3 linked regions of the Tamandua tetradactyla genome follow. The protein of the gene in region 1 binds, or shares a complex with, the protein of each later gene. Links are inferred from orthologs where the notes say so. Each region holds a gene or a part of one and is shown in the gene's direction. Other genes may lie near its edges. The genes, in order: ANXA2, S100A10 and protein S100-A4.

Evidence for each region.
Region 2: the proteins of ANXA2 (region 1) and S100A10 are in contact, whole or in part, in a crystal structure (PDB 4FTG), measured with the Homo sapiens proteins. The link is inferred for Tamandua tetradactyla from reciprocal best matches to the Homo sapiens genes ANXA2 and S100A10. Residues at the interface, in NP_001002857.1 of Homo sapiens: Val4, Glu6, Ile7, Leu8, Lys10, Leu11, Ser12, Leu13; in NP_002957.1 of Homo sapiens: Phe39, Gly41, Phe42, Asn45, Gln46, Ala51, Lys54, Ile55, Leu79, Ala82, Cys83, Tyr86, Phe87, Met91.
Region 3: the proteins of ANXA2 (region 1) and protein S100-A4 are in contact, whole or in part, in a crystal structure (PDB 5LPU), measured with the Homo sapiens proteins. The link is inferred for Tamandua tetradactyla from reciprocal best matches to the Homo sapiens genes ANXA2 and S100A4. Residues at the interface, in NP_001002857.1 of Homo sapiens: Leu13, Glu14, Pro21, Ser22, Ala23, Tyr24, Ser26, Val27, Lys28, Tyr30, Thr31, Asn32, Phe33, Glu36, Arg37, Leu40, Thr44, Gln69, Asp70, Phe73, Arg77, Arg78; in NP_002952.1 of Homo sapiens: Lys35, Leu38, Pro43, Ser44, Phe45, Leu46, Gly47, Lys48, Arg49, Thr50, Asp51, Ala54, Phe55, Lys57, Leu58, Asn61, Leu62, Gln73, Phe78, Cys81, Ile82, Met84, Met85, Glu88, Phe89, Phe93.

What each region holds. Positions count from the first base shown.
Region 1 is NC_135340.1:76,389,823-76,399,569, reverse strand, and holds the start of ANXA2 (annexin A2), read left to right. Parts: upstream 1-5,674; 5' UTR 5,675-5,691; intron 5,692-5,711; exon of another isoform or gene 5,712-5,951; intron 5,952-6,093; exon of another isoform or gene 6,094-6,201; intron 6,202-8,620; exon of another isoform or gene 8,621-8,718; intron 8,719-9,747. UniProt on the Homo sapiens protein: Calcium-regulated membrane-binding protein whose affinity for calcium is greatly enhanced by anionic phospholipids. It binds two calcium ions with high affinity. May be involved in heat-stress response.
Region 2 is NC_135330.1:3,154,789-3,164,559, forward strand, and holds the start of S100A10 (protein S100-A10), read left to right. Parts: upstream 1-4,904; 5' UTR 4,905-4,982; intron 4,983-9,771. UniProt on the Homo sapiens protein: Because S100A10 induces the dimerization of ANXA2/p36, it may function as a regulator of protein phosphorylation in that the ANXA2 monomer is the preferred target (in vitro) of tyrosine-specific kinase.
Region 3 is NC_135330.1:6,366,343-6,375,886, reverse strand, and holds protein S100-A4, read left to right. Parts: upstream 1-5,280; 5' UTR 5,281-5,343; intron 5,344-6,279; 5' UTR 6,280-6,294; coding exon 6,295-6,435; intron 6,436-7,194; coding exon 7,195-7,359; 3' UTR 7,360-7,492; downstream 7,493-9,544. UniProt on the Homo sapiens protein: Calcium-binding protein that plays a role in various cellular processes including motility, angiogenesis, cell differentiation, apoptosis, and autophagy.

The sequences.
Region 1 (9,747 bases):
TCAGCCATTATTTCTTTGAATATTCTCTCTTCCCATTTCTTTCTTTCTCTCCTCTGGGATCCCACAATGTGTATATTGGTATACATGCTGTCCCACAGGTTCCACAGGCTCTATTCACTTTTTTTCATTCCATTTTCTTTCTGCTCATCAAACTGAATAATGTCAATTGCGTTATTGTTATGGGTGGGTTCATGTGTCACCTTGGCCAGGTGGTGACCAGTTGTCTGGTCAAGCAAGTACCGGCCTAACCATTATTGCAAGGACATTTTATGGCTGGTTAATAAATCAGGATAGTTTATTAAATCATCAGCACGTTGATTGCATCCATGGCAGATTACATCTGCAGTTGGCCAAGGGGAGTGTCTTTTGCAATTACAGATGTTTAATCTAATGAGATGAAGGTTTTAAAAGAGAAGTCAGAAGAGAGAATCACTCTCTCCACTTCAGCCAGCCTCTTCTGGGGGTTCATTAAGGCCTTCATTGGAGCTTGTGGGCTGCCCTATGGAACTTGAACTTGTGCATCCCCCAGTTGCATGAGACACCTTTATAAAATCTCATATTTACAACTCCTGTTGGTTCTTGTGCTGGTTTGAAAGGATGTACCCTAGAAAAGCCATGTTTTAATCCTAATCCCATTTTGTAAAGGCAGCCATTTCTTCTAATCCCTATTCCGTAGTGTATGTTGGAAACTTTAGATTATCTCTATAGAGATGTAACTCACTCAAGAGTGGGTATTAAACTGGATTAGGTGGTGATGTGTCTTCACCCATTCCTGGTGGGTTTTGACTGGTTTTACTGGAATCATTTAAAAGAAGCAGCACTTTGGAAAAAGTGAGAGAACAACAAGAGAGAAAGCCAGGAGGTTCAGAGAGAGCAGAGAAGACCAACAGAGCCACGAGAAAGCCACAACAGAGAACGCCGCAGAACCGTGAGGCAGAGAGGCCACCAGCCAGCGACTTTGGGAGATGAAGAAGGAAAATGCCTCCTGGGGAGCTAGAGAGGAAACTAGCAGATGACGCCGTGTTTGCCATGTGCCCTTCCAGCCAAGAGAGAAACCCTGACCATGTTTACTGTGTGCCTTTCTGAATAGAGAAACCCTGAACTTCATCAGCCTTCTTGAATCAAGGTATCTTTCCTCGCATGCCTTAGATTGGACATTTCTATAGACTTGCTTTGTTTGGGACATTTCCACAAATTAAAAACTGTTAACTTGCAACTTATTAAATTCCCCTTTTAAAAAAATCTATTCCATTTCTGGTATAATGCATTCTGGCAGCTAGCAAACTAGAACAGTTCTGTTTCACTAGAGAGCCCTGGCTAATATACTCATCTTCAAGTTCACTGGTTCTTTCTTCTGCCAGCTCCAATCTCCTGTTAAATCCCTTTTAGGTAAATTTTAATTTACCTTACTGTGATCTTCAACTCTGTTCCTTTTTATTATTTCTATTTGTTTACTGATATTAACTTTTTTCATCTATCATTTTTCTGATTTTCTTTAGTTCTTTGTGTTTCCCTTTAGTTCTTTGAGTATATTGAGGACAGTTTTTTAAAGTTTTTGTCTGGTTTTTGCTCAAGCTCTGACTTTCATCACTGATGATTTCTAAAGTTTATCTTGCTCCTTAGCATGGGCCACCATTCACTGTTTCTTTTTATAGGGCATTCCACATTTTAATATGTTATTTCTTGAATTTAGTCACTGAGGTATCAATTTCTTAAGCTTATATCAAGCTAATATTATGACAGAGATTTCCTTGAATATCAGGATCTAACCAAAAAAAAAAAAAAAAGAAAGAAAGAAAGAAAAGAAGAAAACACCTCTGCCAGTCTTTATAGATTATCACGTGTAAGTGCGCTCCTTCTGAGTTTAGCTTGCTTAACAATAAGTTTAGAGAAGCCCAAGGTGAAAACATAGGTTCTTCCCTGGTCTTTACTGAGAATGTGTCATGTCCTAGGCATGAGTGCATGGCCCTCTACTTCCTCCATTACCTGGATCCCAATGTCCCTTCCCTCTAGGAAATACCTTCCCTTCCAGGTCTGAGTGCTACACTGCATGTCTTAAACCCAGCAATCCTTTGCCCCAGGCAGCTACTATTTGATTGTTCTCCTACATCATTCTAGCTCCCGTGTGAGTCATCTCTACATGCAGGAGTCCCAAGCTCTGGAACAGTAAGCCTGCCGTGAGCTTCCTGGTTCAGTCCTTCACGCTTACACCAGACAGCCTGATACAGACACGCATGCGCCCTAGGAGGTGCAGAAGGTTACTTTGTTCCCTCTGGAACTGGGACCAGGGACTCATGCTGGAGAATGGGCTCACCCTCAGCAAAGAAGTGGGTGAGAAAAGGACCAGCAAGGGCACCTCAAGGTTTTCCTATAATTTTTAAGTTGCCGTTTTCTTCTTTTGGGGATTGCCCTGACACTTAAATCCTTTGTTTTTCAGACCTCTGAGAATTTGATGTTTAAAGCTTCTGTGGAAGCTTGCTTAAAACTTCTGTGGAAGGACAGAACTCATCTCACTCCACCATCTTGGTGATTTCACTCTCAGCCAAAACAGTTTTTTTAAAAGGACAAAGTTGGAGGACTCACACTTCCCAAATACAAAACTTACAAAATGTACAAGATGACCTGGCAATTCCACTCCTAAATACCCAAAGAAATTGAAAACTGTGATTCAAACAGTACTTGTACACCAATCTTCATAAGAACATTATCCACAATGGCCAAAAGGTGGAAGCAGCCCAACAGTTTATCAATAGATGAGTGGACAAAATAAATGTGGTACATATACACAATGAAATATTATTTGGCCATGAGAAGGAATGGAGTTCTGAGACATGCTGCAACATGGATGAACTTTGAAAGCATGATGCTGAGTGAAATATGCAAGGCACATAAGGATAAATACTGTATGATTTCACTTATATGAAATATCTAGAAATGGAAAATTTGTAGACAGAAAGTTGATCAGAGGTTACCAGAGGATGGGAGGGGGCAGGTAGGTATAGGGGATGTTGTTACTCGGTAGGTATAGTGTTTGGACAATTTGAAAATTTAAAAATGAAATTAACTTTTCAAAAGTTTATTAGTTTGTACAGTCTTCCTCATTACACAGTCCACATCTAGTTTATTCTTGCCAATAATTATAAAAGCACAAACAAAAAACAGAAAAAAGAACCCAAAAGAAAATAAAAACTGAGCATAACAGCAGATTAAAGCAGGGCAAGTGCAGACCATATTCAGCTCAGCACTTGTTTTTCTACAGGCTGTGAACTAAGAGGACTGGCAACTTCGACTTTGGCTTCTTGAAAGCCAACTGCCATGACTACGTTGGAAGAGAGAGAGAGAGAGAGAGAGAGAGAGAGAGAGAGAGAGAGAGAGAGAGAGAGAGAGAGAGAGAGAGAGAACCTGAGAGACCAAAGGAGAGGCCCAGCTAGCCCTCAGCCATTCCAGCCACCCCAGCTGAGGCACCGGACAAGAGAATGAAGCCACTTTGGGTCCTCCCCAACTCTGCTTGAGCTGTCCTAACCAAAACCAAATGGAGCAGAGCAAATTGTCCTGAGCCCTGCCCAGACTGAAGAATCATGAACAAATACATGATTGCTTATGTTTCAGCCACTATGTTTTGGGGTAATTTGTTACATTGCAGTAAGTAACTGATATAAGGACTTACTTGGGTGCATTATTTAATCTCTGGAGTGGGCAGGTTTTATTTGGGCTCCAGTTTCTCTATAAAAATCAGGGACTGAACAGGTTACTCTCTGAGTTTCCTTTCTGCTCTGTTTTATTACTCTGAATAATTTTTTTCTATCATTCTATTACATTTTAGTGAATGCCTATCAATGCTAATAGAGGCACTGTTAAAGTTGTTGAGATACAGCAGATGAGAAATAAAAAAATTGAAATCTGAGGTCTCCCCAACCGTGAAAACAGAAGGAGAAAAAAGGAGAAGAAAGCAAGGAGAATCTTTAGAATTGAAATGTCAGAATTTCTTGTATACTGGTAGAACTGGCCTCACATTCCTCAGAAATAGCAAATCATGACTTTCAGTAACTTCATTTATGTGGTAACCCCAGTGCAAAGTTCTTTAGCATGCAGCAAACAATGACTGTTGCACAGTTTGGATTTGCAGGATGACCAGGGTAAGTAAAAAATTCTTTTGGATACTTGGTGTCTTTTATACATTCCACATGATTTGAATGAAATGTTTTCTTCCATAATGGGCTAACTGTAGCACAATTAGCACCAAGAGGCTGCGGAATCTGCCTCAAGAACTAGAGAAGGAAGGCAGAATTATGCACACTATTATTTTCTGGCTGGCTTCCCCAATGTTTCAAAATGCTCACTGAATAGGGAAACATAGTTTCTGCCTTCAAGGCTTTCACTTTAAGTTGAAGAACCATAAATGTAGGTCAGAAGTGGTATCAAAAGTGTTGCTTTATGAAACCTAGTGTGGATGATAATGGTGGCTAATTATACAAATATAAGAAAAATTTTTCCATGAACTAGAACAAATGTATGTCACTATTACAAGGTGTCACTAATGGGGTGGTATATGGGTAAAAATACAATTAATGCAAACAGGTTTATAGTTAACAGTGACGTTGTAATATTCTTTCATTAGTTGTAACAAAGACACTGTACAAAAAGTAAATGTCAATAATAGGGGGATATAAGGGAGGGCTGTAGGATTTTTCTTCCTCTTTAGAAGAAATGGGAATGTTCACATATAGATTGTGGTGGTGAATGCACAACTATGTGATTACACCAGGAGCCATGGATGATAGTACACTTAGGATGGATTGAATGCTGTGTGAATAAACTTTAAAAAAAAATAAAACAAAAACACTTAAGGGATCTATTCTCCTTTTGCCCTTCTGATGGGACCTTTGACGTATACTTTCTTGTGAAAGAACTGGGCAACAGTGAGTTCTAGGCTGAGGGTCCAGAGACCCCAGTTCTGGTGTGAATTTTGCAGCTAATTGGCGGGTTAACATGAGCATGGCACTGAGAGTCTTCTGACCTTAGCTTCTTCTTCTATGGGCACTGGATGATCCTTCTACCATTCTCTGATTCTTCCCAGGAGTGAACTGACGCTTAACTGAAAGCAAAAATGGTTGTGCCGAAAGACGCAGCAACATCAGGTCTAGAAGAAAGAACTGTATGAAGTGAGAGTACAAGAAGGAAATTCAAAGGCGCAGCATTCCTGCTAGTTTGAGGTTTAACACAGTATTTGCTCAGTCACACACAAACACATTTGTTGGCCTACATGTTGCCAATGTTAGCTCGTGGAAGCAATGCAAGGAAAGGAAAAGCAAGAAACTGAGCAAAACCGAGGGAGAGCGGGCCAAGCGGCTGGGAAAGAATGGCAGTAATAAAAGAAGGAAGGCAGGAAACGCCTTTGCTGGAACTCGGGGTTCAAAGCCACCGGCCCCACCCAGTCCGGGACGTCCTGCCCCAAGGACTCGCGGGGCTGCCGGACGCTCGGGTGTGGGACCCGATCCTCATTCGGACCCCGGCCCAACGTTTGGCTCGGGCTTCGGCCTTCCGGGAGCTCGCAGCCCCGGCTCTGGCGAGCCCAATGCTGGAAGGCCGGGGCGGGCCAGACTGCAAGGCAGGGCCTGGCGACTCGCCCTCCCGCGCTCCCGCTCCTCCCGGGAACTGCCGGCTGGAGGGGAAGCTAATGTGTTTGCAGAGGTAATGGATATCTGGATGCAAACGGCCTTAGTTCAGGCGAATCACGACGGATGCTTCTTGGAACAATTGTTTTCTCCACTGCATTGACGCGGAAAAAAAACCCAATAAGTGACTTAACTAAGCCCACAGTCCACTTAAGTGCCAACTTACTAACCCAAGCCCCGGCTGCGAACCCGACGTGGCGCTCCTGAAGGGAGAAGAAACAAGGCCGACAATGGGCCTCGAGGAAGCCTGAGCGTCTCGGCGGGGCTTTAAGGAGGGTAGGGGCGTGGGCGTGGGGGCCGCTCCCTCGTGGCGCGGCCCGGAGAACTTTCCTGGGCGAGGCTGCCCCTGCGGGCGGGCGGGCCCGGGAGGGTGAGTCACCCGGAGCCCCGGTGGGAGCGGGCAGGGGGCGGGGCGGGGCGGGCCTCGCCTGGCCGAGGGAGGATGTGGCGGGTATAAAAGCCCCTCCCAGGCCGGCCGGCTCCGCTCGGCATCTGGAGACGCCTGCAGTTTCGCCGACCGGCCCAGGTAAGCGGGACGCACCCGGCCCGCCCGCTATGGCCCCGGGGCCGCCGCGCTAGCGGGTCCAAAGCGCAGGGGAGGAGGCAGTGGCCTCGTAAAGAGACGGGGACCCGGGAGGCCATCCGGGAGAGGGGCACCTCCGCAGTGGGGGGGGGGGGGGGCCTGTGTGCGGGCCCGAGCGGCGCCGGGGCCTGGGGCGCAGCGCGGAGGCGGGGGTCGGGCCCCGCAGGCCCGGCAGGGAGCGCGGGCGACGCTGCCCCGGGGAGGGGAGCCCAGGGAGGCCAGGCATTCCAGCGGCGCGAGGCCCGCGCGGGGCAGGGTGTGGCCGCCCGGGGAGCGGCGGGTCGGGTGCGGAGCAGTTGTCCACGGGCATTTCCCTCCACATTTAACAAAAGCTCTCCCGCCATCTAGAAAGTAATCTCCATTTGTTCCAAGTTACTTTACTCGAAAGAAACGCACGTTTGTGGCGCTTGAACCGACCGCAGCAGGAAAGCACTGGGGAGAAGAAGGAAGGGTGGAAGTTCTGGGCAGCAGGCCATTCCCCCTCGCCCCCCCTAAGTAAAACCAAAACTACAACATAACCTAAAAAACCTCAGCTCATTTTCTTTTGTCCAGATTATCTTGTAGGATAGCAACTTCTGATTTCAGTGTTTCTGGAGATTTTCTGTTGATTGGGAGTCACTCTCAGCCTGGTAGAACACATCTGCATCAGGAAGTGCCCCCCCCCCCACCGTTGTTCTGTGGGGAGCCTGGGCTTGACTGTTACTCGGATGATGCGACAGTGAGTCAGGGACTAAGGGTACAGAAAAGGGCGTGGCTCCCCGCCCGCTCCCCGCAGCTCTGGGAGGCCAGCGCCAGCATCTGCTATGGGACGCTTGGGTTCCTTATCTGCCAAGAGTAGTTCAAGGCTACCCGTTCTTATTTCCATCTGCACAGGGTTATTATTGCAGGTTTCGAAAACCAATAAGTACATTTGGAAAGTACAGTGAAAACGGCAAGTGCAGTACCAGTACAAAGTGTCATCATTGCGATAAGATTTGCTGTTTGTGATTTATGGATGCTGAATTTGTATGTAAAAGAGTCGGGCCTCGTAGGTGCACATTGGGTCTGTCTTTGCCAGACTCCTGGAGTTCAGGGTCCCTGGGCCTTTGAATTCAGACTGCTTCTAATAAGGATTCTTTCCAAAAGTGGGTGTCACTTGCCTGCTTGGAGCTTGGTGGTGTGGAATGCAGAATGTTCTGTCCCACTGTAACAATGTTAGAAGAATGTGCTTGAGTTCCCAGGCTAGCCCAGAAGATCATTTTTAACGTGCACTGTATCTAAGTACTGATACTGCATGCCTGATGTGGGTGTGGGGAACAGCCTGAGGAGGATATGTGGGTAGGGAAAATGAACAGCTGGAATGTTTTTAGTTTCAAGACTGGTCTTGATTAAACTATTTTAATGAGAAAATTACGTATTTGTCCCCTCTCCTCTTTCTTCTCTCGGCCTTCCTCTAACTTCTTTAGAGACCGGTTCTTCCAACATGTTACAAACCATTCTGGTTTTTTCAGTCTTGCTGCATTCGCTCCTCTGTCCATTTCAGTATAGTTGTACCCAGCTAGGGGATTAGCAGATTGAATCAATATTCATTAAATTAGGATTTGTTTTGTGGTCCCCAAATCCTCAGCAATCCGAAGGAGTTACGTTATTTAAAAAACAACAAAAACTGGTCAATCAGATCTTTAATTTATAGAATTTGAAGCTATGGAATCAAGGAATAATAATATTCAGACAGTGTGAAGGGAAAATTTAGGTGAAGGTGAGGTTTAGAGAGGCAAACTTGAAGAAGTGTCCCTGTGGCCAGTAACAGTAAAGACATTTCAGTTTAGCAGTTTTCTCCCTTCCTCTACGTGTACCTGTTATCTAAAAGTGTCAAGGTTTTCTGCAGAAGTACTCATCGCATGGGCAGTGCAAGGGTGTGGCCTTCTACGTGTATTTTTTCAGTTATGATTTGGATACTGCCAGGCTTTTGTCATTTCCTGCAGTACCACCTGACCTGCCTGCAGAAAATGCGCAGGAAATATAGCTGACTCACTGGCTTTTATTAGCAGCTGAATTATGGACTGGAATCTCAGTATTTAAAGTATTGATTGACATTAAGCTTGCAGTAATGGCCATTAGTTTCCTGGCTGATTTCTCATTTAAGTGTTTTTCCTGGCAAGGTAAATATTCCATAATTGGCTATTGATTTTGAGGGCTGTAGGCACTTCCCACCCAGGTGGGCATAGTGTCTGGGACTCGCACCCTGCCTTAAGCCTTTGTTCTAGCTCTTTCTTGTGCAGGGTTCTGAGCCCACTGAGGAGTCCCAGGGTCCAGAGGGCTGTCCTAAGCATCCATTCATTGAACAAAATATTTTTTAATTACCTGTATTTGTGATTCACAGTTACAGGCACTGGGAATATAGCAGTGAATAAAACAGACACAAAAATTCCTTCTCTTGGAGACCTTACTTCTAGCAGGAAGAGAAAGAAAAGAGACACAGTAAGTGACTCGTATAGACAGTTATCAGATTTTAAATATGACCTTTACTTAAAGTAATGTGAGATTTCAAACTTGGCTACAGATCCAAGCATCCTATTAAGACCGCCTCTCGGGAAGCTTTATATAAAGCTAATCCTGACTTTTAACTTGCTTTCCAGATTTGATTGTGAGAACTAAATAGAGTGGTGTGTACCTCTTTCTTTTTTTTAACAGATGGAATTCCACTTCCCTCATTTTCCCTGGTGCCACACCCTATTCTAGTTGTAGGCCACACCAGAGGAAATTACAGTTCTTTAAAAAAATTCTTTCCGCCCATTCACTATCGGGTATATTTTTCCCTCTCCAGTTGCCAGAGGTAGTCCCCAGCTACTTTGTTGAGGGGTCAGGTCAGCAGTAGGAATCAGGAGATACCCAGGCTTGTACTTCTGGGTGAAATCTGCCAAGATTACCTCCAAATCTCTCTTCTGTTGTACACCCGCAAGCTTTTAAGTCATTTTCACACAACCCTGACCAGAGGGCAACTCAGTAGCACCCAAGGGGTCTGAGTTCGAATCCCAGATTTGGTGCCGAAAGCTCTGACTCAAGGGGGTGCCTGTGATATGGAACCCTTGCCCCTCCTCTCCCTGCCACACCCAGTCTCCACACTCCTTAGCTCAGAAGGTCAGAGTGTTAAGGCCACTTGTAAACCCTGCCTCCTTACCGCCCCCTGGCTTTAAGTGCTGAAAGGAGACGTAGGTTGCAATTCCATGTTGTCCTGAGGACAGAGCTGGGATCCAAGCAGCCCTGACTGTTCAGAGTAGGGTGCTGGGCTTGGGGTAGGGGGTAGGCTGCAATCACCATGGGAAAGAGGCTGCTCCTGGGGCACACGATCTGCCAGACTTTGCAAAGATTGACACAGAGGCTGGGGATTTAAACCTCTAGCTGCAAAGGTAGGGAATTGGAGCCGCATTTAACACGTTCAGTCTGAGGAAGAGAGAGAAAATGGAGGAAGAAGCGTGTGTTGGAATAAGTAAATTAAAAAAAAAAAAA
Region 2 (9,771 bases), on another chromosome or scaffold:
AGTAAGGCATGAGATTTTGTTGGTTTGTCCAGAGTGATGCCCTGATAAATCCCAGAGTGATCTGAACAGTGAATAAAAAAGTATTTGCAAAGTCCCCTTGGGGGAATGGTGAGAAAAGGGGAAAATTCAACTTGCCCAAGTGGAGAATTCTTGATATTCTCACAAGCAGGGGGACAACCAAAGCAATAGGCTGAGCCCCCAGTCTTGGGGTTTGTTCATATGAAACTTATATGTGGGAGCCAGGGTTAATGGAAAACCTGCAGAATTTGTTGGGAGCAACTGGCTTCAGAGTGGCGTCGGCAGTAAACTGTGGAGACTGCTATCTGCTTAACTGGAGGACAGCCTGAGAGGGAGAGAATGTTTGTTTTTTCTTAAGCCCCAAGGTCTTGTTAGCTATCTCTTGTATGTAGAGAGTAATATACTGATAAGTAGGCACTCTGTTTTTTTCACGAAATGTATGCCTGCTTTTAGTCACCTAAACCCTGCAATATAGAAGCAGGAACTAATTAAAAATAAAGTTATCTGTTTTCTAAGCTTCAGACCCCCTGAACCCATCTGTTTCTTTCTTTCTTTCTCATCATTCCTTAATATCGTTCGAGCTCCATTTCATAGGAAGCAACACTTAACCCCGCAAAGGATAGGTCAAGCCTACTTAAAATTAGGCCTAAGAGTCATCCCCAAGAGAACCTCTTTTGTTACTCAGATGTGGCCTCTCTCTATCAGTACGGCAAGCAAACTCACCGCCTTCCCCCGCTCTAAATGGGACATGACTCCCAGGGGTGTAAACCTTCCTGGCAACATGGGACAGAAATCCTAGAATAAGCTGGGACTCAGCATCAAGGAGTTGAGAAAACCTTCTCGACCGAAAGAGGGAAGAGAGAAATGAGCAAAATGAAGTGTCAACAATGTCTGAGAGATTCCAAACAGAGTTGAGAGGTTATCCTGGAGGTTATTCTTACGTATTAAGTAGATATCACCTTGTTATTCAAGATGTAATGGTGAGGCTGGAGGGAACTGCATGAAAATGTAGAGCTGTGTTCCAGTAGTCATGTTTCTTGAAGATAACTGTATAATGATATAGCTTTTGCAGTGTGACTGCGTAACTGTGAAAACCTTGTGTCTGATGCTTCATTTATCTACCTTATCGACAGACGAGTAAAACATATGGATTAAAAATAAATAAATAATAGGGGGAACAAATGTTAAAATGAATTGAGTAGATTGAAATGCTAGTGATCAATGAAAGAGAGGGGTAAGGGGTATAGTATTTATGAATTTTCTTTCTGTTTTCTTTTTCTTTCTTTTTCTGAATTTATGCAAATGTTCTAAGAAATGATCATAGTGATGAATATACAACTATGTGATGATATGTGAGTTACTGATTATGTATGTAGAATGGAATGATCATATGGTAAGAATGTTCGTGTTTGTATGTTGGTATGTTTAATAGATAAAATTTTAAAAAAATAAAAAATATAATAAATAAACAAAAATTTTTTAAAAATTTTAAAAAGCTATATAGTTATACAATTATCTTCAAGAATCAAGGCTACTGGAACACAGCTCAACAGTTTCAGGTACCTCCCTCTAGTGTGGCTAATTCCTACTTGTCCTTTAAAACCCATTTAAACCAAAGGTAATTGATATCCTCTGATAGGAATCTGTCCTAAGGAAATTGCACATAGACAGAGATGTTTATTCAAGAAATAGTCAGGTCTACATATAATCATTTATGACAGCAAAAAGTTGGAATCATCCTAAATGTTAAAAAAATATGGGAAATGTAATCAGTTATATCTCACACTTGAGTTTTTTGTTTGGTTGGTTTGGCTTTTGGATTGCCTGCAAACGAGTCTTGACTAGATATCCATAAATCAGCGGTTATCACCTGACATGATGCTGTGATTCCTTAATAGGACGTTTTAACTGACAGGAAAGTGTATCTTTGCTACAATTGTGATTTCCCCTGTTAACTCAATGTCTGGGCAGACAAACATGGAGTGAGGCTTCTACTGGTGCAGGGTACAATGTGATATACATAGAGAGACAAAGAAACAATGCATTTCCCAGATCAGAGGGGTCAGGACAGCAAACGGCTCTGCCCAAGCAGTGACACGGTGCTGAAGTGTGATCGGTATAATACAGTAATGACTCAACATGCAACTCAAGTCTTTTGACTGTGCTGCCAAAAATACTAATACTCAAAAGAATGTGGCTGTATGCGTTAGGGTCATGCTGAACAAATAAATCCCCAAATCTCGAGATTTTCTCACTCCCAAAGCTAGCCCAATGGGAGCCTTCTGCTTGGCAGGCAGTTTCCTCCACGGGGTGACTCAGGGACCCAGGGTCCTTCTGACTGGTTCCTCTGGCCCAGAGCCTCAGAGTCCTGCAGACGTGGAGAAAGAAGGTGGGAAAGTCACCTCCGGACTGCCTTGGCCTGAAAGTGACACATGCTTCAAGTCCCATTCTGTGGGTGACCAGTCCAGGCCCCACCCAGGTGCAAGGGGTGCCAGGCGTGTAACCCCCCGCTGGGCAGCCACTTCCCGGCAGCAGTCTACCCTCCCGGCTGGGCAGCCACTTCCCGGCAGCAGTCTACCCTGGAAGAGGAGGCAGGCGTTCTGGGGACAGCCAGACCTCCTGGCCACAGCCGCAAAACTGCAAACCGTTGAGCACCACTGGATGACAGGAGCTTGTTACTATCAAACAGAGAAGTGGGAAAATATCCACTTAAGTAAAACAATCCCCCCTGCTGCCAGCATGGGTTTGAGTCCAACCCATGCACCCGAGGAAAAAAAGAAGCCATGTGATGATCTGTCTGGTGTATACATCACAATAAAACTGCATTTTTTTTGAAAGTCACATGAAGGAACTCATTCCAGCATCATACACAATAAAATATGCTCATGCTCACACATATACTCACAGTCTTGACAAATACTTAATGTAAAATGTGTTTAATGTTTTAACATTTAATGAACAGCAGTGAGAAAAATATATATATATTTAATGAAAATAGTAAGGATAAAGTGTTACATGACAAAAGTAGAATTTATAATTTTACATCAGTGTGATCACAAATCTGTAAATACATATGTACACATGCATAAAAAGACCGAAGGAAATATAAGAAAATGTTCACCTTTAGTTCATGAGTTTACACATAAATTTTTCTTTCTTAAACACTGATGCATTTTCTAAACCTACAGGAATGTAATCTTTTTACAATCAGATTTAAAAATCAGGGTGCACGGGTGGTTCAGGGGTAGAATGCTCACCTCCCATGTGGGTTTGATTCCCGGACCAGGCACCCCCACCCTCACCCCCCAAAAAAAGGATCAGAAGTTACTGTTATTTTTAAAACTTCTCTCCAAGGTTGCGTCCTCCCGGACCTTCCCCTGACCACTGCAGCGTGACCCGGCGCCGCTGCTCACTGCTCCTGGAGTGTCCCACCCATTCCTGCACCTCACTACCCACCTGCATTTTCCTTGCCTGCTGATCTCCTAACAATAACCGGGTCTCTGAGGAAAGCCACTGAGTCTTCTGATCTCTGAATCCCAAGGGCCTGACACACACTGCAAGCATCCCGAAACACTTAGGCACCACAGGAGGAAATTAAACGAGTAAGCAGGAGTAGGCAAGCTCAGCTCTGCAATCTTCCCTGGAACGGGGAACCGGGTTTTTTTTCCACTGGGGACGGCGACCTGGGGCCAGGAAGGCTGAGGAACTGTCCCCTGGAAGAGACGGCACAGGGGCCCAGGGGGGTCAGAGCTGAAACTTAAGTTGGGTTTTCCTGACAGCTGCTAGGATTAGTCACAGGGCCACGCTTGAAGGATTCCCCAGTCGGCTGATTCCTTCGGGATCACTCACTCCTCTCGGGACCTCCCCTAGGAACTAAGTAGGAAGGAAAACCCCAGACCTTGGGACTGCGCCCTCTTCAGCCAGCAGCTGCTAGGAGTTTGCATTCAACAAAGTTAAAATAAATGTCCACAGTTAAAATAAACGTCCACGGTTAGGGATCGCTAAGAAACACTTAGGTTTTCTCTGTATGCCTTCAAGCAAAAGAGCTCGGGGGGCCGAGCTGGCTAATGAACGAAAAAAAGATTTTAAAACTTAGATTTTAACGATATCAACCACATCTGAAGTTGAGCTACTGACATAATGCAGCCACGCGGACCCAGGGGGTGGAAACCCGTCGTTCAACAAAGGGGGAAACGCCCCTGGGCGGAGAGCCAAGCAGCCCCTCCTTCACCCCCCTCACCCCCCACTCCCTCCCTCACCCCCTCCCTCACCTCCCCACCCCCTCCCTTACCCCCTCACCCCCCTCACTTCCCCACCCCCTCCCTCACCCCTCACTCCCTCCCTCACCTCCCCACCCCTCCCTCACCCCCTCACCTCCCTCACCCTCTCCCTCACCTCCCTCACACTCTCCCTCACCTCCCCACCCCCTCCCTCACCCCCTCCCTCACCTCCCTCACCCCCTCCCTCACCCCCACCCCCTCCCTCATCCCCCTCCCTCCCACCGCCCCCAAGCCCCCCCCCACCTCCCGGCCCCGACGCGCCCAGGTCGGCTTCTAGCGCGGAAGTGAACGGAATCTGAGAGCCCTCTGCCCGCGCCCCTCCCGGCGCTGTCTTCTGGGAAACAGTCCCTAGGCCTGCGGGGCGCGGAGGAGCCGCCTCTGCGCCTGGCCGACGCGCCGCGCCCCGGCACCGCCGGACCCCGGGTTTCCGAAGCCGAGCCCGGGCGGGCGGGAGGTCCTGAGGGGCGCGGCGGGCGGCGCGGTGCACCTCGGGGGGCGGGGACGGGGTGGGCGGCGCAGGGAGGGGAGGGTGGGGAGGGCCCGGCCCGGCCAGGCCCCTCCCGCCCGCGCCCCTCCCGCCGCCCCGCGTACTAAGGCGCCCGCCCGCCGCGCGCCGCTCACTGGCTCCGCGTCCCCGCTCCCGAGGCCCCGCTCCCGCCGCCGCCGCCGCCGCCTCCGGCCAAGGTGAGCCCCGCCGGGCCCGCGCACCGCCCGCGGCCCGGACCGTCCCCACCCGGGGCAGCCCCCGGACCCCAGTGCCGGGAGCCCGCGACCCCAGGCCAGCGAGCCGAGCGCCCCGCGCCCCCCGCCACTCCGCGCCTTCCGCCGCCCCGCGAGCGCGCGGCCGGGGCCACCTGCCTTGCCTGCCCTCTGCCGCGGGACCTGGCCCGGGCCTCTGCCCTCCTCCCGCCCGGTCGTCAGCCGGTCTTTGCCGCTGCCTGCCTGCCCTTCGTCCACGCTGTCGGCTTTTCCAGACGCCGCGTCCCGCCGTCCTGGCCGCGGCATGGGGGGGCCCTCGCGGGCCCCGCCTCTGTCCAGAGGTGCCCACCCCGGGCTGGACGGTCCTGCGCCCTCGGGGGGAGGGGGTGGTAGCAGGGGCGGGGGGCCGGGCGGGGCCCTCCCCGGGATGCTCCTCAGACCTGCGCCAGGGCCCTCGGGTCGGGCTTCCTGTCTGCCTCGGAGACGGGGGCCCCACTGCGCAGCGAGCGCGCGCCGTCTGTTTTCTCCGCACAGCGAGGAGACAGGGGCCCTGCCTGACTTGGTTTCTCCACTGATGGACTTTTCCCCTTCTTACCATCTGAACTAAATCAGAGGACTGGGAGGGAGACGGGCGAGGGCGGGCTGGAGGGCAGCTCTCCCCAGCCCAGATGAACCTGGCCGAGTGCCGTGGGACAGAGGTCGGTGGGGCCAGGGTGCCCCCTCCACGCTGGAGGCTGGCCCGGGCAGCACCCTGCAGCCGGCCTCGCCGAACTGAAAGCAAGCAGAACCCCGAGGCCAGGCACGGCAGAGCCCTAGGCCAGCCTGGGTCACTCTAAGCCCACCGCCCTCCCCTCGCCCTCCCAGCCCCGCCCCCTCCCACGGGGCTGGGAGTCCTGCAGGGTGGGGTTACCACGGAGGGCTGGGGGTTCTCTAGCGGTGAAGGGGCTGGTGACTCAGCGGTGAGACCATGTGGGCGGGGCCCTGCTGCTGCCAGAGACTCTGCAGATGGACAGACACTCCCTGGAGGAAAAGGGAACTGTGCCATCTTAGAGGGCATTTTCCAGGAGGAAGTGAGTCACTCCAGGACTGACCCACGGTCTGAAGGAGAGCTATCTTCCTGAACTGTAAGGACAGTGATTAGATTGGCAGAGTCATGGCGAGACCATGCCACCCCATTATGGGTCCCTAAGGCCTGGCAGCCTGCCCCGGCTTTACTTGGGAGGTAGCTTTTCCCGTTAAGAGGTTTGCGGTGGCTGCAGATTTTTTTTTTCCCTCTGCAGCTTGAATTTCAACCTCCAGGAGTAGATTTTTATATCCTGCACTTAGAGGTGGGGTCAGACTCATGGAAACACCCTGCAGTGATCTTTGCTTCCAACTTGTTTCAGCAGATTGCAAAAGATAATGCCAGGGGGTGGGGCAGGAACCAGTGCATATAATTCATTTGGAATTTCATCATCAGCCCTGCCCCCACAGATTCCTATCTGGTTTCTATTTATTCATCCCTTTCTAAATGGTAAATACTCTCCTCAACAGCGCCAAGCTGGCTTCTTCCTTGAGGTCCTTGATCCACCATTTGGGGCTTCTTATTGCAGTTTTTCAAAATTTCTTGAGGCTCTCCTGTATAAAAAGCAGTTGTTTGGTATCAGGCTGATTTCTAGGTGATGCTTCTCCTGGCTTCTCCCGAGCATATGGCATTTGGGTCCTCTTTCTCCCCACGCCTGGCTTCTGGCCAGCCTCAAGCAGCCACCCCCGCGAGGTCAGGCCTGGAGCTGTGGAGTTGGGCCTGGGTGCGTCCCTGCTTTCCACAGACAGTTCCAAAAATGTGGCTTTTTTAGAACACTCCCCACTTGGTGTGCCTCTGGATACAGTCAAGTCTTTTAAAGTAAAACCAGAGGGAAACAATGGAATCCTTTCAGTGTTATAATGTGTAAATTAGCATTCAGAGTGCTGGGAAAGCTTGACAAAAATCGTAGGAGCATTCCTAAGAGTCTCCTTTTCCTGGCACTTAATTTAGGAATCTCCCATCAAAAGCAAAAACAATGAATTTAAATATTTTTAACAGCAGTTCTTAGCACTTCGGTCTCTTCGTTAAATAACTACATCTATTTACTGGTTCAGATTGATGCCTGATGAGAGCAAAATGGGTGTACTTCATTGGGACAGAGGAGGCGTCTAAGTTTTCTTCCTTTTGGATGTTTCTGGAACTTTCCTTTGCTGTCCACTTCCTTAAGGGACACGTTTTGTTGGTAAAAAGTTGAGAGACAACCTGGATCCTGACCTACTGCCTCAGTTCATTTCTTCTGAATTCCTTTTAAGGATCAAATTCAATGAAAACCTCTTTGGTTCAATTTTCAGAAAGCAAAAATTTTTAAATGCTTTTTTTTTTTTCAAAATTCCCAAAGCCAAAGGAAGGAAACCTCAAACACATTTTCAATAACAGATGTTTGCTATCACTGACACCCCGCCAGTTATTTTCTGGGTGGGCTGTAAGACAGCGAGACTAAGGGTGAGGCACAGAGGAGCAAAGTAAATCCGACCTCGTGCTCAGGAGAAGTGTTCTCTTTGAAATTACGGCCGGTTCTGGGCATAGGTCCAGAGCAAACATTTGAGATTGCTCAGGAGCAGACGCTCTGTGCTAAGCGGGCCCCTGCTCCCCTGTCACTCCCAGGATGGTTCAAACGTACATACGAGTATCAGTTTCATTCTTACCAGTTTATTGAGCATGAGGCAGAAGATGGGATAAACAGAAAGACGTGACAACAGCACAAGTGAGAAGAGGAAAAAGGCATGCCAGGGTCTGACCAGACCTGTTTAGCAGGACATGCATTTTTTCCTGTGTGCACTACTGTTTCATTCACAGGTGAGCCCTTTTGCGGCCCCTTTCCTGGCCCCTCCCAGCTCCGAGCCTTGAGCTCAGGTTTAAGGTTTGCAGCCCAGTCCTAAACAATCACACTCAGACCTCGGCTCCTGCCAAGGAAGTTGTCTGAGGCAGTCATTCCCTCATTTAACAAATGGCTATTTAGTGGCTAAAAGATAAATGCAGAAAAACTCACAGCTTTAGACCAAGGGAACTTGGATCTACAAAAGAGACAGGCAGGTAAGCCATTCCACGCAATCGAGTGCTGCCGGTTGTCTGGGCCCGGGGAGGGTGCAGCTGCCCTCAGCCACAGCCCCGAGGCCCTCCCCTCAACCAGGACCCAGCCCGCTCCTGCCCCAGAGCCTGTAGGGTGGCTGGGGATGGAAAGTCCAGGTGCAGGGTGCAGGCCCCTTGAAGAACAGCTGCTTCGGCCACCAACGGTCCGTGCTGCAGTCAGCCACGCCTGGGCAAGCCACGCCCAAGAAGGGAAGTTCCCTGCACACAAGCAAGGCCTCAGAGAAGGGCTAGGAGCCCACGGAGGTGATTCATCCACTTTCCAAGAGAACAGAGTTTTAGTCGCAACATTTCCCCCCTCTCCTTGTCTTTAAAACCAGTGTGCTGGCTCCTTCAGAACAGTTCTTGGCTGGTGAATGCCTTCTGGAGCAATGGCTGCTAAAGAGGAGTGCTTGTTCTCACTTTCAGGGTCTTTTATCTCCCCACCGGCCTCTCTGCATTCTTGTTGCAAGAAGGTCTACTGGACAGACAGGGAGTCAGCCGGCTGCTGAGTTCACAATCCATTTGCTGATTTAAACAGCTGGGAGGGAGGGCGGCCCAGTGGGGCAGGGATGTGGGCAGCTTCAGAGACAAAAGCGCAGTCACTTCATAAATAGTGTGGCCGAGAGACTCAGGTGACCCGAGACCCAAACATTCCTGCGGGGGGGAGGGACACTGGCCCCTCTCTCGAAGGTGTTCCGCTTATGACTTGTATTTCTTCATAGTTCCTGAATTAGCCTGTTTTAGGGGCTCAGCCGCGCTGCATTCCGTTTCCTACTTCTTCTCTGGGTTTTCTGCCGCTCGGCCTGCGAAGGTGAACTCGGTGTCCCCAGGCAGTGACAATGTCTAGGGCCTTTGGGAATCCATAGGGCGGTGCTCTCCCACTCGCAGTGTGGCCACAGGCATTTTAAACTCTGTGGTGTCTGACGCCTTTTCTGAGTCATTTAGGAGCTGGACCTGGATCCCACGTCCTTCTCCCATGCGTGGCTCACTTCTGTTCCCTTAAAGGACTCACATGGCTGGACTTCCAGTCCCCAAGCAGGCAAGGCAGACGCCTAAACTCGCTGCCTTCTGAAACCCACCCAGGGACCTGGGCTGCGCCCGCTCCGGGCTGTGTGGGAGGAGAGGGGAAAGGGTGTGGTTTCCCCGGGTATTCCTCTCGCTGAGCCTCGCAGCAGCTCTCCAAGAGGGTGGCCTTCGCGATGACTCATGACCAAGTCTGGCTTGCAGTATTCTCTAGAGTAGCACATTCTTTGGCATGCTGGTTCCCGTACTTTTCTGGGGGTTAAGGAGCAGAATTTACAATTCTTAAGTGTGATTGCTCAATCCCAGCACCAACTCCTCCTCCTTCTGTAAAAGACAGCATTTAGGAATCTGCACTGAACATACATCTTTTGGCAGCAGGAATCAGACCAAAAGCATGGGATCGGGTTCCTATTGGCACTTGCCTGTAGGGGAAGGTGCCAGACTCTCCTTCAGCCGGTACTCCAAGCCCGCTGTCTAATCTAGGTGTGTCGGGGCAGGGCATATATTACAACCTCCATTCAGTTTCACCTGTTTCCTGTCTAGTTGTGATTTTAGGTGTTGTTTGTTAGCTAACGCTTCTCTATTCTGGCCAAAGCATACTTCCAATTAAGCCACAAT
Region 3 (9,544 bases), on another chromosome or scaffold:
AGCCCCCCCAGGCAGCTTCAGCCCCCACAGGCAGCCGCAGGCCACATTCATCCACTTCCCTTAGCCAGGAGGCAAGCAAAGCCTCAGGACAGACGACTGCAGGTGCCCCAGCAGTAACGCACCTTCATCCTATGCCTCAAAAATATCCTACAAATGACTTTCCAAGGAAAATGAGTGATTTACTCCAAAAAATGACCGAGCACGGAAGACGTGACCTGGGAAGCATGCAAGGGGGGTGCCTTGGCCTCCGCCTTCTCGTCTGTAACCGAGGGGTCTCACCAGACACTCTCAAGGTCTCCTCTGGCACAGGAGCTCTCTGAAGCACCAACCTAAGTGGATGCAAAGTGTGTCCCCCACTTTGTATTCTGGGGGTGCCTCTTCAGAGTGAAGCCTATAGACCTCCAAATGGGCAGGAGGCCAAACCCAGCTACTGACTCTGGGGGAGGGCAGCAGGGAAGTGAGAGGGGTGGGGGTGGGGTGGGGGTGGGGTGTCTGAGGCCCCAGGCTGGGTCTTTGATGTGTGCGTAGACAGGTGGGTGGATGGGGCCTGTAATAGAGGAAGCGGAAGGAAGGATACAGGGAGCCCCTGTGGGCATCCCCCATACTGACCCAGTTGGGCTCCCCATAATTGCTCTCTTCTTTCCTTGGGAAGCTACAAATAGGGATTCCCTGCCTCTGGGCTCTGACAGGTGAAACTCCAACACCAGTGGTGAGTGCCAATTGCTGCCCTGAGTTGGGTGTTAGGGGGTTTCAGGGGGCCCCCAATAGCCAGCCTGTCTTCTGGCCCAGGGCCTGGGCATAGGGGCAGGGGCTGGCCAACCGATAAGGTGAGGGAAGGCAGGTATGGCGGACTTGTGCATGCAAAGCTGAGGTCTGGCGCTGGGGGCAGAGCGGTGGGCTGGAAATGCAGGGGCTGCTCTCAATTAGCCCCCTCTCCCTCCTCTTTGCCTCCTTTGCTTTGTTTCTGGGGACCGGCTGAGATGGCTCAGGGCGGCCTAGGAAAGGAGGATTCCCAGCCCATCTCCGGGCACTGAACTTTGGAAACAGCAACAGCGGTGGCGCCAGGCAGGCTGGCAGCAGCCCAGAGGGCTAAGCACCTCCTGTGTCTCCCTTACTCCCTGGGATCTCAGTCCCTTCCTCCTCTGGGCACCTGGATACCCTGCCCCAAGTCTAGGCTATCACAGACAGTTAGCTGCCCCCCCCAGCCCCCCACCAGTCATGACCGTGAGGCCATTTGCTCCATGGGGTCTGCAGAAGGGACTCAGTAGGGAGAGAGCCTGGCCCCTGCTGCTCTGCGGTGCAGGGCTCCCGTCCCTGTCCCTGGGGGAGGCGGTGGTGAGTCACAGGCTCACATGGAAACAACTCTCCTGCCTGGCTGCCTTAGGGTTCCCCTGGCAGGGCATCGGCCCAGAAGGGTGGGGGGAGGGGATGGTGAAATTGGGGTTGGGGGGAGGTGGGCAACTCCAGGCAGCGCTTCTTGGCCTCTAACAGAACAGGGCACTTCTACAAAGAATCTTCTATCTCAAGAACCCCCAGGTCGGGGGTGGCCTCAGGGTGGGGCCATCAGGGTGGGGTCAGCACTGGAGCCAGCAGGGCCTCCGGAGACCATCTGGCCCGGATCCCCGGCTGGACCTGAAAGGCGGAACTAACCACATTTCACACACCAGGCTAGAGAGGGGCAGAGGCGAGCCTGGAGGATTTTCCTTGAGTTTGGGGAGGAGGGATTGTAGGGGAGGGTGTTGGGACGTCCCTCCAGGCCTCCCCCCACCCCCCAGCCCCACCTGCTATGTCCAGCTTCTCCAAACGCCTGAGGACAAGTCAGCCCTGGGTGAGGGTCTCTGTGCAAATTCTTACAAGAAGGAGCTCTGGGGTCCTGAAGGGGGCTGCATCTCAGAGAGTGGCACAGAGTGGGATTGCCACCTTCCTGGGTGCTGGGGGCTGAGAAAAGGTGGGATTCATCAGGAACCCGCAGGGGTGCAAGTGGTGGGGTGGGAGACACCCTCTTTCCTTGAGGGACATGCAGTGATGTTGGGGAAATAAGATCTTTGTTGAGAAAAATCACAAGGGGTGGGGGTGGGGAGGCAGTAATGAGATGAGTTAAGAGGAGCTGGTGGGGCCTAAGAGGGCTTCTCAGAGCTAGGGTAGCTTCTGGGGCCCCACACCTGACAGAGACTGAGAGAGGCCTGGGAGCACAGAGGGCAGAGGTGAGCAGGGACGCTGGCCTGGGACCCCACCATGAGTCGCCCTCTTGCTCTGTTGCAGAGAGAATGACCTGTCCCCTGGAACAGGCACTGGACACCATCCTGGAAGTCTATCGAAGATATGTCACCGCAGACGACAGGCCCACGCTTTGCCAGACTGAGCTCAAATTGCTGCTGCAGAGGGAGCTGCCCACTTGGAGGCCAGTGAGTACCCGGATGTGCCTCTCCTTCGAGTCTGCAGAGTCTGGGCCACCCACGAACAAAGGAAAGTGAGAAGGGAGGCTAGGAAGGGACCCACCTGGCAAGCAGGTGCCTCAGTTTTCTCCCCTGTAAAACGAAGTGACGACAGTCCCACCTGCTGCATTGGGAGGGTTGAGTGCAAACACCGTGAAGAATGCCTGGCATATAATAGGCGCTCAGTAGCAAACAGTTGGTGCTCAATAAATGATCTGAGAAGGAAGATTTGGAGTGGGTGGGCAGGGTTGAAATAGGTATGCAACTGGAACCGGCTGGCTGAGGTTGGCCCTCCGAAGCAGTGTGGATTGGGAGGAGAGGGGCTTCCTCGGAGGGGAGGGACAGAAGAGGGCCAGTCCCCCTCCCCCAGCTCCTCACCCCTCCCCCCCGCTCCTCACCCCTCCCCCACCTCCCGTCGCACAGACTGAGCTTCGGGAGTGTGACTACAATAAATTCATGAGCCTTCTGGACACCAACAAGGACTGCCAGGTGGACTTTGCGGAATACATGCGCGCACTTGCCTGCCTCTGTCTCTACTGCCACGTGGCTTGGAGAACTGTGCCCCGGAGGCTCCCTGCGCCCCGGAGACTGCCTGTGCCCAGTAGCCTGCGCCCAGGGGGCCGGGAGGTCCGGACTTGCCCCGCCTCTGCCCCGCGTGGTCCGGGGCAGGTCACCAACAGTCTCCCACATGCCCCTCTGCCCTCCTTCCTAAATCTCTCTTTTTTTCCTCTTTTTGGGGGTGTGTGTGTGCCTGGGCTGGGAATCGAACCGGGGTCTCCCACATGGCAGGCGGGAATTCTACCCTGAGCCGCCCCAGCACCCACCTATACTCTTTTTAATGAGGGATCTGCCAGGTCCACCCCGATATGCCGCCCCATATCATAGGCTGCGCCGCAGTGAGGGATACAGCAGCCGCGGGCCCCTCTGCGCCCCCTCTTCTGCCTCCCTGCTGCGATGCCGGGCCCGGGGGCGGGACGCGGGGCTGCTGGGGGGAAGTGAAGACCCGGCAGAGCGTGGCCCCAGTGAGGCCGAGCACCCAGGGGCCCAGTGAGACCGAGCACCCGGGGGCCCAGTGAGACCGAGCACCCGGGGGCCCAGTGAGACCGAGCACCCGGGGGCCCAGTGAGACCGAGCACCCGGGGGCCCAGTGAGACCGAGCACCCGAGACCCCAGTGAGACCGAGCACCCGAGACCCCAGTGAGACCGAGCACCCGGGGGCCCAGTGAGACCAAGCACCCGAGACCCCAGTGAGACCGAGCACCCGAGGTCCCAGTGAGACCGAGCACCCGGGGGCCCAGTGAGACCGAGCACCCGGGGGCCCAGTGAGACCGAGCACCCGAGACCCCAGTGAGACCCAGCACCCGAGACCCCAGTGAGACCCAGCACCCGGGGGCCCAGTGAGACCGAGCACCCAAAAGGCAGTTTAACTCCTAATAAAGAGCTGGTGTCAGCGTGGCTGGTTTGGTTCTGCTGAGAGGACAGGCCGGGTCTTGGGGCGGCCGCTGGCTGAGGCTCTGCCCTACCCGGGCCTTTGGGGGGAAGCGGGCAGCTGAGGGGCCCCCGAGCAGCCCACGCACCCCAGGGCCGTTTCAGACCCGGAGGAAATGACCTGGTCTCAGCAGCCCGGCAAAAGGGGTGGGGTCCCACGCAGTGACTCCCATCCTGGGGGAGGGGCCACAGGGCCTCTCTCTGGGGCCCCTGAGGGTGGAGTGCCCTCCAGGCGGGGCAGCCAGTGGTTCAGCGGGGACAGAAGAGCTGAGCTCGACCCAGCCCAGCCCTCGTGACAGGATGCTCTGAGGCGGGTGGGGCCGTGGGGCGGGGTGGGGGGGGTGTATGCCCAGCCCAGGGCTGAGGGAGCCCTGAAAACAGGATTCATGGGTTTAGGATGTCTGAAGTGTCTGCACCCAACCAAGGAGGGGTGCCCTGTGTTGGAAGGGGTAGGGGAGACCTTGGGGCAGACCCCATTCCTGAGGTCATAGTTACCGAGGGCCCAGACCCCCACTTCCGAGCTTCACTCTATCCCTGGGGTCCTCCCCCACCCTGAGCCTCAATGCCCCCGCCCCCGCCTCATCAGCTCAGCCCATCAGCCCAAAACCCCCATCCTTGAGCTCAAGCCCCTCCCTGGAAACTTAACCCTCATCCCTGACTTGTCCCTATGGGACCATTTCACCCCTGACTCCTGCCCCAACCTGGCTTCTGAATTCCTGACACGCACCCCTACGCCAGCCACCCCCACTCCCACCCCTGTCCCTAACCACCCCACCCTTGTTTCTTCACCCCATCTCTGAGCCCCGTCCCCCTCCACCACTGCATGCCACCTCACCCAGGTCCTTTGTTGACAGACATTCTGGGGCGTCCTGAGCCTGCTTTGGGTGTCAGCCAGTTCCCCGTCCTGAGTGCCCCCTGTTCCCCGACCCCATCACCATGGCAGGTGCCCTTTGGGGAGGGGAAGGGCTGATTGAGCCTGGGGCTCCCCACCAAGCCCCATACTGTCAGGGGCATTTGCCATCCTTCCCCCACCACCCCTGAACCCCTTTTCCCAGGCCCTCCTACTCCCTGACCCCCACATTCCATTCACACACCGCCCCCTCCTCTAGCTCCAGGAACCCCAGGTTGAGCTCTGTGCGCTGGGCATGCCCACCCAGCGGAGGTGTCTGCCCAGGCTCACTGGTGCCCACCCACTGTCCACCTGGGCCTGCCCGGGGGCAGGAAGCTTGGTTTCCTGGGCAGGATGGTCGAGGGGGCTGTGGCAAACATGGGCCCACAGCAGGAGGCCAGTCTCCCGCTTTCCCCCATCCCCTGCCATGGGCAGGGCTTGGCCCCGGGTATAAATAGGTCAGACCGCTGGGCTTTCCCCACTCTTCTGTCCCCAGCCCTCTCTCTTTGGCGCTTCCTCTCACTTGTCCTGGTGAGTTGTGGCTGCTTGGCTGGCATGCAAGGGGTGTCTGACCCAGGCTCCGGGGCAGGAGAAAGGGAGGTTGGTGGGGACCAGATGTGCTAAATGGATCCAGATGTGCAATTCAGATGTGGAGGCTCTGGGGTGGGATGTGTGTGTGCAAGAGAGAGAAACAGAAAGTGTGCAGGTGTACTGAAAGGCGGGGGCTGCAGGCAGTGTTGTTGGGGTGTGCTGTGGCATGTGTGTGACCCATGGCTTGTGCTTGCTGGGTTGCATATGGCCATGTGCGTACGCCCAGCAGTGGGAGGCAGATGGAGGCAGAAGGCACTGTGGGCTTCTGTCCGGCAGTGTCCCAGGAGCCTCTGCCCTGCACGGAGCAGCCCAGCCCGGGAGAGCCCGGCTTCCCCTCCCCTCCTCTAGTCTTTCTTCCCTTCTTTTTCCTTCTCTCTTCTCCCCCCTCCTCTTCTCCCCTCCCCTCCCATGCCTGCCTCTGCCACCTCACCCTGCCCCTCCCTAGGCCCGGCAGCTGGTTTTTTCCGCTCCAGGCCCCTGGGCTGGGCTCCAGCAGCCACACCCAGCCTGGAAGCAAGAAGAATGGCTCAGGGTGGAGCCGCTGCCCGGCTGGGGGAGTGGGGGGGTCTGTAAGGGGTGGAAACAACACTGTGGTTGAGACACGACCTGAGTGAGGCCCAGGGTGCTGGCGGCTTGAATCTCCAGAGCCTGTGCAGTGGACCCTGCCAATGTTTGCTGCCTGGAGCTTGCATCTCCCACTCTATACAGCCCCTGACGCCACCAGGAGCTGAGCCCCGCCTCTGTAGGCTCCCCCCACGGCAGGACCAGAGTCTCATCAAATGCTCCATGAGGGGTGGGGAGTGGGTTGGGGGCTGTGGATGCTTAGCTGGCACGTAGGGTAGATAAGGGTGCCTCTGTGAACCCCCCCACCCCCAGATCCTGATTGCTGCCATGGCGTACCCCCTGGAAAAAGCCCTGGATGTGATGGTGTCCACCTTCCACAAGTACTCAGGCAAGGAGGGTGACAAGTTTAAGCTCAATAAGTCAGAGCTAAAGGAGCTGCTGACCAGGGAGCTGCCCAGCTTCTTGGGGGTAAGTAGGTGCCCAGAAGAGGGGCGAGGCCCTGGAAGGTGCTAGTCTTTGCTACAGGTGGTATCTCTCACTGGAAGGGGGAAGGAGGGGGCAGAGAGCTTGCCCTGGCTGCCTTCAGAGAAAGACAGCCGGTGCCCAGCATGCACGGGTCCCCGGCGCAGGCTGATGGAGGGTGAGTTACCAGCTGGACGTGCAGCCAGGTGCTTTGTACTTATTATGTAACTTAGCTGAAGGGAAAGCTGACGCTCAGGGAGGCTAAGTAACTTTGCAAAGTGGTCCATGCATGCAACCGAGAGCTGCACCAGGACTCTTGCTGCCACTCTAGCAATGGAAAAATTTTGAGCTTCTATTTGGCTTGTGAATGTGCCGATGTAGCTATGGAGGCTGGCATACGCCTACAGATCTCCCCTCAAGCAATAAAGCAGCTCTCATCCATGTCAAACCGTCCCTTGTGTGCTGTTTTATGGCCATTACCTAAATGGAGTCTTAAAACAGCCTTGGGAAAAGATGTCCCGCCTTTTCAGTTGACAGCATCCAGGTAGGTATTCAGCAGAGTCCTTCTCACCCAAGGGACAGCCTCCTCCTGCACTAGCTTCGCCCTGAAGGTGGAAGGTCCTAAAGCCTGGGCTTCCCAAGGAGTGGCCAAGCACCTTCTCGAGCCCAGATCTGGGGGGGCACTCGGTTCTCGTCTGGGCTTCACTCCCTAGGCTATGGCGCTTGACCTGTCGCCTCCTCACCTGTCGCCTCCTCTCTCTCCAGAAAAGGACGGACGAGGCCGCCTTCCAGAAGCTGATGAGCAACTTGGACAACAACAGGGACAATGAGGTGGACTTCCAGGAGTACAGCGTCTTCCTGTCCTGCATCGCCATGATGTGCAACGACTTCTTTGAGGGCTTCCCCGACAAGCAGCCCCGGAAGAAATGAGTGACCCCGAGCTGCGGCTGCGGGGGCTTGGCCGGGCCTTGGCTGGGGGCCGTGGGGGCGGTGCCTTCCCCTGGCTCCTCCAGACTCGTGTGTGATGCTGAGCAACTCCAATAAAGAGTCTTGAAAGCTTTAAGGCTGCTGGTCTGAGAGACTTGGTGTGCGGGGTAGGGGCCGGGGGATACGTCCGGGGAAGGCGCAGGCTCATGGAGAGGCAGCTCAGCTGCAGATTTTTGGGGAGCAGACTAGTGGAGGGGAGCTGACCAGGATATGTGCATGGGGAAGGGGCCGGGGAGGACAGAGCTGGCTTTGGATGGCGCTAGGAGCAGGGAAAGGGACCACCGGAGACCAGGGGATCACAGCCAGCCAGCTCACCCCACCCACCCCTCTCCAATCTTGCCTGTGGCAGGACCTCTAACTGAGGCCCAGATGGGATGGAAGGTCACATCTGCTCCTGGTTGGGGTCTGGAATGGGCTTGGGTTGCCAGGGAGTGAGATGGAAGGAAGGAGTCATGGGGAGGGAAGGGGGGATGTAGCAGGCCGGGTGTGTGGGTGTGAGAGCCCGGGGCCACAGGGGGCGGGGAGGAGGGCTGGCCCGCAATCCTGACATTTGCAATCAGGACCCACAGGGACAGATTCATCCTTTCCTATCCATGGTTGGATAAGGAGGGAGACAGGGCTGTTCGCAGAAGTCATTCTCCAGTCCACTGTCCCTGGGATGAGATCTGCTATCAATTAGGAGTCACGTGTTTTCAGAGAAGGACAAAGGACCTGGTTGGGGTGGGAGGGAGATGGGGAGGAGGTGCCTGAAGTTTTGTTTTTTTCTTTTTTTTTTTAATTAACTTTTCAATTTTTAAAAAAATATGACAAGAAAGAAACCCAAACATTCTTAACATATGCTCATTCCGTTCTACATATATAATCATTAGTTCACAATATCATCACATAGTTGCATATTCATTGTTATGATCATTTCTTAGAACATTTGCATCAATTCAGAGAGAGAAATAAAAAGACAACAGAAAAAAATTCATACATACCATACCCCTTACCCCTCCCTTTCATTGATCACTAGCATTTCAACCTAAGTTTATTTTCACATTTGTGCCCCTTATTATTTATTTTTATTCCACATGTTTCACTCGTCTGTTGATAAGGTAGATAAAAGGAGCATCAGACACAAGGTTTTCACAATCACACGTGACTGAAGTTTTTGAGACAAAAATTCCAGACACATGATCTGATAAATGAAATTGAGATTTCTCTCCGCAGGAAATCAAGCATGTGTTGCTTCCACTTCGGGGAGACTAAGGCTCAATGGGCTGCAGGGGCCGGTGGGTGGGTTTCAAGTTAGACCTCAAGGCCATGCCCGGATGACGCGGGGCACCTTTAAGGAAGAGGTGAGTCAAGGTCAGGCCAAGAAGCAGGATCTGGGGCCATTGGCCCATCAAACTCTCCCCTTTCCTCTCATCCCTGTTCTCCTCTCACATTCCACATTCACAGGAAAGGGGCACGTGACTCAGCGGTTCCCTTAGAATTTGGCTACAGAGACGTGGGTGGAATTTTGGTCCCAGAAAAACGGGCTTCTCTGCCCTTTTCTCCCCTTCTTTCTCCCTTCTTCCACACCCCCCCCCACACTGACCCCCCCCCCCCAGGCCAGCCTTCCGGCCGCCGTCTTCCCTGGGACCGCCCTCCCCTGAGCCTCCTCCTGCAGCGCTCTCTCGTCTTCGGAAACTCCTGTTGCTCAGCAACGTGTTCCTGCTGCCTCCTGAGCCCTGCCAGCCGGGGGCGGGGGTGGAGCAGGGGGCAGCAGGGAGGGCCCAGGCAGGCAAGGGTTGGGGCCGTGGCAGGGACTGCTTGCTAAGCCCCTAAGTTGTTCTGTTCCCATTCTCAGAACAGTGTTCCAGTCTTCCTGAGATGCAGGCAACGCTCCCCAAGCCTCACCATGTCTATCAGTGCGCCTTGAACCGGGACCTGTCTTCTCATCCACAACCTCATCCCGTCGCCAGGCCCCTCGTCCTTCCCTGGATCCCTTCCCCAATTCCTGATTCTCAGTCCTCCATTCCAAGGGTCTCCAACAATTTTTAACCCATGAAGATTTGGGATGCTTAAAAGAAATCATTCATTTTAAAGCACTTTGAAAATCTTAGGCTCCAGGCTAGCTAATGACCTTGGCCCCGTCCTTGGC